Saccharomyces cerevisiae S288C: one gene and its partners. The main gene of each other region encodes a partner of the protein of the gene in region 3 in a complex. Each region holds a gene or a part of one and is shown on either strand. Other genes may lie near its edges. A codon is read from its position in the direction of its gene.

The links.
Region 1: the proteins of ATP3 (region 3) and INH1 are in contact, whole or in part, in a crystal structure (PDB 3ZIA), measured with the Saccharomyces cerevisiae proteins. Residues at the interface, in NP_009595.1 of Saccharomyces cerevisiae: Met41 (codon at 1,323), Arg42 (codon at 1,320), Lys44 (codon at 1,314), Ser45 (codon at 1,311), Asn48 (codon at 1,302), Ile49 (codon at 1,299); in NP_010100.1 of Saccharomyces cerevisiae: Ser23 (codon at 1,891), Ser26 (codon at 1,900), Thr27 (codon at 1,903), Arg31 (codon at 1,915), Asp37 (codon at 1,933), Phe39 (codon at 1,939).
Region 2: the proteins of ATP3 (region 3) and ATP16 are in contact, whole or in part, in a crystal structure (PDB 3FKS), measured with the Saccharomyces cerevisiae proteins. Residues at the interface, in NP_009595.1 of Saccharomyces cerevisiae: Ala70 (codon at 1,236), Ser73 (codon at 1,227), Ala74 (codon at 1,224), Lys76 (codon at 1,218), Met77 (codon at 1,215), Glu79 (codon at 1,209), Ala80 (codon at 1,206), Glu81 (codon at 1,203), Leu83 (codon at 1,197), Phe84 (codon at 1,194), Asn87 (codon at 1,185), Phe173 (codon at 927), Lys229 (codon at 759), Phe230 (codon at 756), Glu231 (codon at 753), Ile232 (codon at 750), Ala236 (codon at 738), Asn237 (codon at 735), Val238 (codon at 732), Asp241 (codon at 723), Leu242 (codon at 720), Tyr245 (codon at 711), Leu252 (codon at 690); in NP_010280.1 of Saccharomyces cerevisiae: Gln35 (codon at 956), Ala37 (codon at 950), Leu38 (codon at 947), Pro39 (codon at 944), His40 (codon at 941), Glu41 (codon at 938), Thr42 (codon at 935), Ser45 (codon at 926), Lys57 (codon at 890), Val68 (codon at 857), Pro69 (codon at 854), Thr70 (codon at 851), Val71 (codon at 848), Gln73 (codon at 842), Gly94 (codon at 779), Gly95 (codon at 776), Phe96 (codon at 773), Thr98 (codon at 767), Val99 (codon at 764), Gln100 (codon at 761), Pro101 (codon at 758), Asp102 (codon at 755), Gln104 (codon at 749), Cys106 (codon at 743), Thr108 (codon at 737), Ala109 (codon at 734), Ile110 (codon at 731).
Region 4: the proteins of ATP3 (region 3) and ATP15 are in contact, whole or in part, in a cryo-EM structure (PDB 8F29), measured with the Saccharomyces cerevisiae proteins. Residues at the interface, in NP_009595.1 of Saccharomyces cerevisiae: Lys148 (codon at 1,002), Leu152 (codon at 990), Pro156 (codon at 978), Asn157 (codon at 975), Ile159 (codon at 969), Lys160 (codon at 966), Leu161 (codon at 963), Ser162 (codon at 960), Ile163 (codon at 957), Asn164 (codon at 954), Gly165 (codon at 951), Ile166 (codon at 948), Lys168 (codon at 942), Thr172 (codon at 930), Phe173 (codon at 927), Gln174 (codon at 924), Glu175 (codon at 921), Ala177 (codon at 915), Leu178 (codon at 912), Ile179 (codon at 909), Asp181 (codon at 903), Lys182 (codon at 900), Leu184 (codon at 894), Ser185 (codon at 891), Val186 (codon at 888), Met187 (codon at 885), Asn237 (codon at 735), Arg240 (codon at 726), Asp241 (codon at 723), Glu244 (codon at 714); in NP_015052.1 of Saccharomyces cerevisiae: Trp4 (codon at 696), Arg5 (codon at 693), Ile9 (codon at 681), Ser10 (codon at 678), Tyr11 (codon at 675), Ala12 (codon at 672), Ala13 (codon at 669), Leu15 (codon at 663), Asn16 (codon at 660), Ala19 (codon at 651), Gln20 (codon at 648), Asn37 (codon at 597), Arg38 (codon at 594), Gln40 (codon at 588), Thr41 (codon at 585), Asp42 (codon at 582), Ala43 (codon at 579), Phe44 (codon at 576), Tyr45 (codon at 573), Thr46 (codon at 570), Gln47 (codon at 567), Tyr48 (codon at 564), Lys49 (codon at 561), Asn50 (codon at 558), Thr52 (codon at 552), Pro57 (codon at 537), Ile60 (codon at 528).

The regions. Positions count from the first base shown.
Region 1 is NC_001136.10:133,355-135,953, forward strand, and holds INH1 (ATPase inhibitor), read left to right. Parts: upstream 1-1,824; coding exon 1,825-2,082; downstream 2,083-2,599. Other genes in the region: homocitrate synthase LYS20, read left to right, coding at 83-1,369; AIT1 (Ait1p), read left to right, coding at 2,542-2,599. UniProt on the Saccharomyces cerevisiae protein: Endogenous ATPase inhibitor, which inhibits specifically the reverse ATPase reaction of mitochondrial F(1)F(0)-type ATP synthase.
Region 2 is NC_001136.10:441,426-444,086, reverse strand, and holds ATP16 (F1F0 ATP synthase subunit delta), read right to left. Parts: upstream 1,059-2,661; coding exon 576-1,058; downstream 1-575. Other genes in the region: MED2 (Med2p), read left to right, coding at 1,778-2,661. UniProt on the Saccharomyces cerevisiae protein: Mitochondrial membrane ATP synthase (F(1)F(0) ATP synthase or Complex V) produces ATP from ADP in the presence of a proton gradient across the membrane which is generated by electron transport complexes of the respiratory chain.
Region 3 is NC_001134.8:313,892-317,017, reverse strand, and holds ATP3 (F1F0 ATP synthase subunit gamma), read right to left. Parts: upstream 1,444-3,126; coding exon 508-1,443; downstream 1-507. Other genes in the region: FIG1 (Fig1p), read right to left, coding at 1-50; chitin synthase CHS2, read right to left, coding at 2,229-3,126. UniProt on the Saccharomyces cerevisiae protein: Mitochondrial membrane ATP synthase (F(1)F(0) ATP synthase or Complex V) produces ATP from ADP in the presence of a proton gradient across the membrane which is generated by electron transport complexes of the respiratory chain.
Region 4 is NC_001148.4:28,158-30,783, reverse strand, and holds ATP15 (F1F0 ATP synthase subunit epsilon), read right to left. Parts: upstream 706-2,626; coding exon 517-705; downstream 1-516. Other genes in the region: ATP-binding cassette permease MDL2, read right to left, coding at 1-302; PBI1 (Pbi1p), read left to right, coding at 2,620-2,626. UniProt on the Saccharomyces cerevisiae protein: Mitochondrial membrane ATP synthase (F(1)F(0) ATP synthase or Complex V) produces ATP from ADP in the presence of a proton gradient across the membrane which is generated by electron transport complexes of the respiratory chain.

The DNA of each region.
Region 1 (2,599 bases), on a different chromosome or scaffold from region 3:
TTTGATATGTTCCCGTTTAGTTTATTCTTGTTTCTTATCTACATAACAAACAAAGGAAGGACCCTGTATTGTTTTCCTAAAGATGACTGCTGCTAAACCAAATCCATATGCTGCCAAACCGGGCGACTATCTTTCTAATGTAAATAATTTCCAGTTAATCGATTCGACGCTGAGAGAAGGTGAACAATTTGCCAACGCATTCTTCGATACTGAAAAAAAGATCGAAATTGCTAGAGCCTTGGACGATTTCGGTGTGGACTACATCGAGTTAACCTCACCAGTAGCATCTGAACAATCAAGAAAGGACTGTGAAGCTATATGTAAACTAGGTTTAAAGGCCAAGATCCTTACACACATTCGTTGTCATATGGATGACGCCAAAGTCGCCGTAGAGACTGGTGTCGACGGTGTCGATGTCGTTATCGGCACCTCCAAATTTTTAAGACAATATTCCCACGGTAAGGATATGAACTACATCGCCAAGAGTGCTGTTGAAGTCATTGAATTTGTCAAATCCAAAGGTATTGAAATCAGATTTTCCTCTGAAGATTCCTTCAGAAGTGATCTCGTTGATCTTTTGAACATTTATAAAACCGTTGACAAGATCGGTGTAAATAGAGTCGGTATTGCCGACACAGTTGGATGTGCCAACCCAAGACAAGTATATGAACTGATCAGAACTTTGAAGAGTGTTGTTTCATGTGACATCGAATGCCATTTCCACAACGATACTGGTTGTGCCATTGCAAACGCCTACACTGCTTTGGAAGGTGGTGCCAGATTGATTGACGTCAGTGTACTGGGTATTGGTGAAAGAAACGGTATCACTCCTCTAGGTGGGCTCATGGCAAGAATGATTGTTGCCGCACCAGACTATGTCAAGTCCAAATACAAGTTGCACAAGATCAGAGACATTGAAAACCTGGTCGCTGATGCTGTGGAAGTTAACATTCCATTCAACAACCCTATCACCGGGTTCTGTGCATTCACACATAAAGCAGGTATCCATGCCAAGGCCATTTTGGCTAACCCATCTACCTACGAAATCTTGGACCCTCACGATTTCGGTATGAAGAGGTATATCCACTTCGCCAACAGACTAACTGGCTGGAACGCCATCAAAGCCAGAGTCGACCAGTTGAACTTGAACTTGACGGATGACCAAATCAAGGAAGTTACTGCTAAGATTAAGAAGCTGGGTGATGTCAGATCGCTGAATATCGATGATGTTGACTCTATCATCAAGAACTTCCACGCAGAGGTCAGCACTCCTCAAGTACTATCTGCAAAAAAGAACAAGAAGAATGACAGCGATGTACCGGAACTGGCCACCATCCCCGCCGCCAAGCGGACTAAGCCATCCGCCTAACGTTCCCAAACCATTACATTATGTTCTTTCACTTATTACATACGATATATAGCATCTACATCTACATATCTAAATGATGTTTTTTCCCATCTACTTTGTCCGATACGCATTAAAAGAAGAAGATTTACTCTCCCGTGATGCCGGGCCAATCAGACGCGCGCATTCGCGGCAGAATAAGGGGAGGCTGCTGCGGGTACCAAATATCCAGATATTCACAATTATGCCAATCAACTGTCTAGTTGCTGACACCCATCGTTTTCCACTGCAACGAGGTTTTGGGGCTAGAAAAGGCGTTAACAATCGTTAGAGAAGGAGGGGTTCATAACTTGACTTGTTGTATCTTGTTTAAAACTTTCTTTGAATTTGTTCGTGGTTGAATTTGTTTTTGCTATCCCAAAGGAGTGCATTTTACACGCATTACTACAGCACACTTTTATACAGTTCCACAATAGAATATGTTACCACGTTCAGCATTAGCACGCTCATTGCAATTACAGCGCGGTGTGGCCGCAAGGTTCTACTCTGAAGGTTCTACCGGCACCCCAAGAGGGTCAGGCTCAGAGGATTCGTTTGTTAAAAGGGAAAGGGCCACGGAAGACTTCTTCGTTAGGCAGCGTGAGAAGGAGCAACTACGCCATTTGAAAGAACAACTGGAAAAACAACGAAAGAAGATTGATTCTTTGGAAAATAAAATTGACTCGATGACCAAATAATCATGCGTTTCCGCAGAAGCTTTTTTTTTTTTTTTTTTAGAATATTCTTACTCTTTTATAGTCAAACAGCAGAAAAACTATATAATAATACATCACACTGAGCTTTTGCATTTTCGATAACTATCATTCTAGTTTTCCTCTGGTTTGAATTTTCCTCTTGTCTGTCTGACTAATGTCACTCATTATTTCCACTTCGCGCAAAGTTCGTCCCAATGCGGAAAGGCATAGAAAGATAGGAACAGTGTGGAACATGGAAAAGTTCCAAATAACGTCAATAGTCCATACTTAAGATACGAAATTTCAAAATTCCTTCTTTTTTGTTTCAACAAGCTTAGCCTAACACCAAGAATATACTTAGCATCTCTTCGCATTCAAAATTTCTCTTCCATTCTTTGACGTTTTAAATCATACCTCGTATTCTTTACACAAAAGAAAGATACCTGTGAAATATATCTGAATATGGTCCGATTAAATCATGCAGCATCATATTTTATGCCTATTTTCTGCTCCACAAGGC
Region 2 (2,661 bases), on a different chromosome or scaffold from region 3:
TTGTTCTCATACTTTTATAATCAGATATTTTGTTGAACTCAATCTCCCACTTTATTCGTGATTTAGTGTAGAACAAACTTTGGTGTAATTACTGACACGAATACGAGGAAACACTGGTTTTCGCTGGGGCATGAACGTTTTTTTCATTTTTTTAGAATATACGGCAACAGTGCCCGAAGTAAAATTGCTGTGCAAGAAGGACTAAAACATAAATAGGAAGGACTTAGGGAAGTGAAAACTCACTGGAATAACACGATGATCTGCAACTAGGGCTTTCATACAGGATTTAAAGAAACAGTTGTAAAAAGTATTACTTTCTAGGACTATTAGTTATGAAAATTACATGTTAATGTTTTCTCTTTTGTTTTCTTGTTTTTGAATATAAAATAATAAAATTTTCTGTATATATACGCTAATAAACGGTTTCTCTGTATACTTAAGACATCAACCAAAATGGAAACTTAAATTCGAGTAGAACAAACAATGAATTTTGGCGCTTTCAAGCGAATTGCTTGTCAACACTTAAAAACGTAGACTTCTTCCCCTCAAGTTCTAGAATGCGTACCATAAAAACGCTATTTCAATACGGATTGTAGGTTTTCTAAAACTTCTACTTGAATTGCAGCTTCTGCGGCTTCCCTGGCATCAGATGAACTAACGTTCTTCTTAGCTTCTGCCAACAAATTTTTTATATTTTCTTGTGAAAAGGATTCCAATGGAAAAGCTTCAATTGCAGTTACACATAACTGCGAGTCTGGTTGAACTGTTGCAAATCCACCTGATATAAAGAATTTTTTAGAGTTAGAGCCTTCCATAACTTCAACGACACCTGGTAGTAATTGTTCAACGGTGGGAACATGGTTGGCCAATACACCAATACGTCCTGACTTAGCAGGCAGGTTCACTTGAGTAACTTCGGAGCCACTATATAAAGTTTCGTGTGGTAGAGCAAATTGTAACTTCAAACCTGATGATGCGGCAGCAGCTTCTGCATATGAACGCTTAGCGACGAAATTCAATGATCTTGATGCACTCTTTCCAATAATTGAACGTAACATTTTCCTATCCTCACGGCTACAGTTATACCTTCACAAATTGATTGAGGCTCTTTTAGCAGTGTGTGTACGATACCTTTATTGTTATCCTCCATCTAATTTAACATGAACTTTTACAATGATGGGACGGCCCCTTCCTAGACGACTCCATAATGCGCTTTGATTGGCTGGGCATCTATTTTCGTTAAAGGTGATTACAGGCGGTGACCGAGGTGAATAATATACAAATTAGCTATTATTACCAAGTCCTAAGAATAATATTTAAATGAGGTTGTCTACATTTTTAGCTTATAGTCTTCTTTCTTTTCTATATTATTTGAAGTTGTGTATAAGTATTTTTATTGCAAGGCCAGAGCTTGTCAATCATCAATCTCCTAGGCATTTCACACTTGTCTTTCGTGTAATAGTAAGAAGTAAATATTATAATATTTAATGAATTGGTACCTTTTAGTTGTGCATCGCATACGTTGACCATTTTAAAAACTATTATATCTTATGTTTATACTATTTTCTTCCCAGGGAAGCAACGTCTTAATTACAATGATTAGGATATTACCCGCTTGTAACGAGAAAAGTTAAATGTTTCCAATGACATCAAGAAATTCAAAGCGGGATAGAGAGGGTTGCTGGAATATTCACCAAAATTTCAATAGATGTTCTGGTCTCAAGATAGTTTAAATTTGAAGGCGGATCCTCCCAAATAAACTGCCCGTCTGAAAGTAATGGTAGTACAAAATAGCCCAGTTTCGTCTGTTCACACAGCCAATTTCTCTGAACGGGGGAGCAATACCAGAACAATGACGTATAAAAATAAGCTTACTGTTTGCTTCGATGACATCCTAAAAGTTGGAGCAGAAATGATGATGCAACAACAGTTAAAAAATGTACAACTAGATTCTTATCTCGTCAATGGTTTCAGTCAATCTCAGCAAAAATTATTGAAAGAGAAGGTTAAATTATTTCATGGAATTTTAGATGATTTAGAGACTTCTCTAAGCCAGAGTTCTTCATATTTAGAAACTCTTACTGCACTCGGAAAAGAAAAGGAGAAAGAAAGAGAGGAAGCTGAAAAAAAGAGGGCTGAACAAGAAAATATGAGGAAGGTTAGAGAACAAGAAGAATTAAAAAAGCGACAAGAACTCGAAGAAGCCTCCCAACAGCAGCAACTCCAGCAAAATTCAAAGGAAAAAAATGGCCTTGGTTTGAACTTCTCCACAACAGCACCTGCGAACACAACGGATGCCAACGGTTCCAAAGAGAATTATCAAGAACTTGGATCTCTTCAATCATCCAGTCAAACACAACTTGAGAACGCAAATGCTGCTAATAACGGTGCCGCATTTTCTCCCTTAACCACTACTCGAATCCAAAGCCAGCAGGCCCAACCCTCGGATGTAATGTTCAACGATTTAAACTCTATGGATATTTCGATGTTTTCAGGCCTTGACAGTACTGGTTTTGACTCCACAGCCTTCAATGCCACGGTGGACGAAACCAAAGGCTTTGACGATAATGACTCAGGTAACAACTACAATGACATAAATATTTCTTCTATTGAAAACAACATAAATAATAATATCAATAGCACCAAGAACGGCAAGGATAA
Region 3 (3,126 bases):
ATTCTGGGCATACGCTTGGTAAAAAACCAAATCATTGAGATTGCGACCATTTTTTTTTTTTTTTTTTTGTTTGTTTGTTTGTTTGTTTACTATAATTTCTTCTACCAAAGACAAGCAAGAACCTGAGATAAAAAACATTTAACAGACATTTTACAAATATATACCAATGTCTTTGTTATTTCAACAGCACTATATATTGTTTTCATTTTCTTGGTTCGTTTCATTGCTACTTAGCCATATTTTTTTTAACTGACACATACATGAAACCATCATAATCTTAATGGGAAAAAATCCTAAAGCGAGAAGGACTTTCAAAAAAAAAAAGTTTTAAAAATGTTATAATTTTTGTATTTTACCTGAATATATAGTAGTGTTTAGTATTTATTATCTTTCCTTTTCTATTTAAGGTATTCTTTGGATATATACTTCGTCTCATCAAGTCAAAATTCGTTTCATGTTCTACAAAAACAACGTCAAATAAAGAGGCAATGCAGGGTGATTTTTTTATCATCCCAAAGAGGAAGCACCAGTAATAATATCAACCAGTTCATTAGTAATGACAGCTTGTCTTGTTCTGTTGTACAAGATAGAGTAACGATTGATCATATCACCGGCATTCTTGGAAGCGTTATCCATAGCGTTTCTTCTGGCGGAAATTTCAGCAGCATAACCTTGAGCCATTGCTGTCAACATTTGGTTAGCCAAAGTATATTCAAACAAATCTCTTGGAACGTTTGCGTCCGTGTCGATCTCAAATTTGCCGAATGATGGGGATTGTTCAATGGTCTTGGCGTTAAAGATCGGTTTTTCAGATGGTTCAAAAGATAGGGAAGACACTGGGTCATTGTAGAAAATGGAAATCTTTGGGTAAGTGCCGGCCTTCATGACACTCAATAACTTATCGGCAATCAAAGCAGATTCTTGGAAAGTTGGGGCATCTTTACCAATTCCATTAATAGACAATTTAATGTTGTTAGGATGGGTTCTCAATAGCTGCATTTTAATTTTATCACCAATAGTGACTATATCGGCGTTTGGTTGATCATTCAAATGTCTTCTCACAGCTTTAGCCAATTGAGAGTGGATAGAACCACACAACCCCTTATCAGAGGTGATAGCAACAATCAACTCTTTAGGAGCACCTGTTTCAGTAGCCTCAACATCCAAATTTTTGGTTTCGGCGTTCTTGTAAAACAACTGCTCTGCTTCATCCATCTTCTTTGCGGAAATTTTAGCCTTTTCAGCTTTACTCAATCTTGTAGATGCAACAATCTTCATAGTTTTTGTGATCTTCTCAATATTTTTGATAGATTTCAAACGCATTTCCACTTCTTTCAAAGTAGCATAAGTTCTCACTGGGTTAGTCTTATAAAGAATACCCACTTGCGCTTGGTGGCACATTACGGAGCGTGTTGCATTGTTTGATACAATTCTTGACAACATGACTACTAAATAAAATAATGTTTACTGCTCGTCTTCAATTGTTTCCACCTGAAATTAACCAAAACGGTTCAGTCTCAATAGTTTCTTATTTGTCTTTTTTAACTGAGTGATAATCATTTAAGCATCTCCCTTCCGGGCCTTCTTTAATCGTTATTGCGGTCCGGGTTCCTCGCGTAGTTACTCGCCGCTCATTGGTTCTCCATCACGTGATAAACATTTCTTCCAAATAAATGAGAACGTTCATTAAATATCGAATAATTCACTTATTATATCTCCATCATATACTTACTAGTTCTAGCGACAGCTCCTATTCATATATCTTCTTACTTTTTTTTTGTTTTATCGACAATTGCTCTACGTTTCGACGTCTAGAAAATGTACTAAAACAGTGCGCTCTCTACCCATAAGGATGAAGAATACGTAATAACAAGAGTTTATTCTCCTTAGTATGTATTTGATAGCACACTCAGAAAGATGAGTTACTACTTGGAAAATCTCAAAAGCTCTTGATGCCCAGCTCATACATAAAAAAACGCCGGAGAACTTTAGCGTCACCAGTTACTGCGACACGGCTTTTAGAGAGGAAAGTAAAGGTCTATGAGTAAAAAGATAGATTATGTTATGCTACATTATATTTGGTATTGAAACATGTATATTATATATAAAAAGTCTAAGAGAGAAATGTCAAAATATCCTAGAAGGTAATGGTTGTCATAACCTGTACATTCTAAAACAGAATGAGAAAAAAGAGGGAATGACGAGAAATTAGCTGAAAAATACTGGCATTAGCCCTTTTTGTGGAAAACATTTGGTAAGTCTAATTTAGAGACTTCCCATGAGCCGCTACCTTCAACTTTATTTCTGTAACTCACTATTATACGCAAGTATTTCATGAACAAAAAGGCCATGGAACCAACCACCCTAAAGGCAGCTAAAGCGGCCACAGACCATAAAATGAATATCAAATAACCATTGTCAGTATCTTGTGGTGTAAAGACTTGAATTATAGACATGATCAGTATTAGATTTGATAGCATCCAAATCATCACAATTCTGGTTCTTATATCTCTATAATAATCATTCTTGGATTGTTTTTCATTGCCGCTTGATTCTTCAAATTCTGGTTCTTTCAAACGACTTTTTATTTCCAAAAACTTCTTATCAACTTCCTGAGGCCAATCTGTTTCCACAATCTGTTTCCCATCTGGACCTTGAACGACAATGGCCTTGGACAATTGCTTGGACTCCTGTGTGGAACCTTTAGTACCCCAGGAAACGTCGTGTGTATTACAGAAGGCAAAAATCTGTAAAGTACACGTAAAGGCGGGAAGTGTCAAAAAGTATTGTATGGATGATGTAAACATGTGCCAAGGATCTAGGTACATCAGTGATGAGAAAAAGTATAGGCCATAGGTGGAGAGCAATGAGATAACGATGTCGACAAATATTTTGTGGGATTCCGTTCCAGAAGCTAACGACTTGAAAGCAAAAACAAACCCACAAATTAGAGAATATGTGGCACATATAGACAGTATAACCATGGAGGTAATGAATAAATGTTTCGCGCCCTGGGGTCTATTACCCATGGAAATAATGAATAAACTTGCCAAGTCACAAAAGATCAGGTATTTAAAAAAAATGAATAAGGCCTCACCATGTTTAATAACTAAATTCATTGATCCT
Region 4 (2,626 bases), on a different chromosome or scaffold from region 3:
TCATCAGTTTTAGATTGCTCCTTTGCATGTGCCGACCTTGCTGATCCTTTAGATATGGGAGAGGCTGAAGGCAGAGAAGTTTCTGGAACTGTTTTGGATGAATTACATCTAAAACTTTGTAAAATTAGTGATTTTCCAACTGCAGGTGACCTTAAACACAACCGACTGAGAGGAATGAGCTGCGATGAAGAAGGGGTGACCAAAGACCGAAACCTTATAGATGGCAGTTTAGCCAGTCGGGGACGGGACAGCATGTTTCTGCATATGCCCAGCCGCAAAAGTGGTAAACGACCATTCAACATTGCGATTGGCGATGATGGGACATATATTTCTTTTTCTTTTAATGCAATGATACAAACTTTATACCACTCTTCGAAGCGGCCAGTATTCAATATCATTGTAGTCATTATTAGTTTCCCGTATAAAAGTACGTAAGTTTTCATACACAGTTGCTAGAATATTTAAAATGTATATCAGCGAGTAAAAAAAGAGCTGCAGTTCCCAGGAAGCGTTAAACTATTTTGTTATTGGAGTGGGTTCAGAAGCTGCAGTGCCATTTTTATATTGGGTATAAAAAGCATCTGTTTGCGATCTGTTAAGAACACTAGCGGTTTGTAATTCAGTTTTCAATGAAGAACGGATAGCCTGAGCGGCCACATTCAAATATGCAGCATATGATATACCAGCTTTCCTCCAGGCAGACATTTTATGAATCGGTTGTGGGCTGAAACTGTTGATGTTTCTTAGAAATACATATCTTGCTAAGTACTCAATAGAAAGGCCTACTTGTATCTCTTCATTTAACTAGACGAAAAAGGGGAGGATCAAATTTCATTGGTTCGTATAAAAGTATTAAAAAATAAGCGCGTTGCCAGACTTAGTGTGAGATAGTAAGCTAGTAAATCATCTGCTATTACCTAGTTTAGCGTATTTCCTAATAAGGATTACCAATTCCTCAAGTTCATGGCTTGGTAAGATACAGCTATAGCTTTCTTAGTTTTTTTCTTCGAGAGAACTAGTACAATGCTTCTATAGAAGTTAAGAAGTTTACCTTTTCGAAGAACAAATATATTGTTGCTTTGCTTACTCCGAGGTTATCGACTATTTTTGGCAATCCGTTTGAACCTGGATAAATACGTAAATCAGACTTTCTTTAGCCGGATCAACTCTTTTTTTTTTGTAAGCACTCTGACTTGTCGCTGCTGTGTCTGCCAATAATTCAATAATTCATAGTATTTCATACCATATGCTTTATTTAGTGTCCCACTGATGTGAGTTGAAGAATTGTATTCAGATAGGCATATCTTAAGGTCCAACTATTGCCACCGTCGTAGTGCGGAAAGGTTGATTATCGAGCGAATTAGAGGAATAAATGCTGCTATGCGCACGATGAGCAAATCGGAAGTAAACCACGCCGCTGATCCACCTGAACAAAAGAATCTCGCGGAGTTACGATTTAATGTAGGTTTGCTCAGATTACGTTACTGATACTTTACTTTGGACAAAAGTTCTCATACAAACTGTGGAAACAACACCGCTTAAACCAACGATTATGAAATGACATGGTCTAAAGTAATATAATCTATATTAGAATGTGCAGATGGCTATGGTATCCATGCGATGGCAAACCTCCGCAATGATTGGCGTTCTAGCGGCTATCCGAATTCACAATCGACAAGAAGTACTTCTAACTTACACAAGGCAACGAAATAATATCACTCTATGAAACTGCCATTTGGGTAATAGGAGTATATTGAACGACACCGGGTCAACAAGCAACTTTCCTAAGCCTTTTACACTTCTTCACATCATTCAAGATCGCCTTTTAACGAGCTACAAACCTTCACGTTCGTTCTTCTATGGAAACGTTTAAGATAACGTTAAAACGTTCTCAATCACAGAATTTAAGATGATTAGAAATGTTTTCCAAGGGATAGGGCGAAGCACAACCTCGAAAAATGGCAAAATTTTAGAATCTTAGCCACCTTAACGTCTACTTAGAGCCTTAGAAAAGCCATCAAGATTGGTGGAATAGTTGTTGAGGGAACTTAGCCGCCACATTCTCGTAGCCAAATAAAGCGAATCTGACCATTGTATGTTTCTTTTTCACTGGTATGATAGCCCAATGTGTTTAAGGAAAGTTAGGACAACACACCCGAAGAAGGACGTCACCCCTGCATTCCCAAACGAGCTATGAAATAGCTCTTTCCTCTACAAGTAATAACAACAACTTTTTTGTCTGTTTTCCGACCGTTTAACTTCAGAGATTAATTTTTTCAACGCGCTTTCGTTGAACGTCGCAAATTCGTTTAGAATAAACGAAAGGTGACAGAAATAGAAGATTATAGCCATGCATACGCACATAAATTGAAAACTGTTTCGAGGCTGAGTATTCCCTGCGTCTGCAGCCATCAGGGGTATGACTCTGCTACACGTTTACTATATTCTTGGCTAAACGATTCATTAACGAAGCGATGAGTAGATCACACTCGGCATACGAGCACAAATTTGTATGGGGGGACGGTCATATATAAAAGGGTGTATACGTTATCCTTGTTATACCTGTCCAAAGAAGTGCATTTGTAACTCACAACACAGACACATCCTCACTTTATCATAATGACTA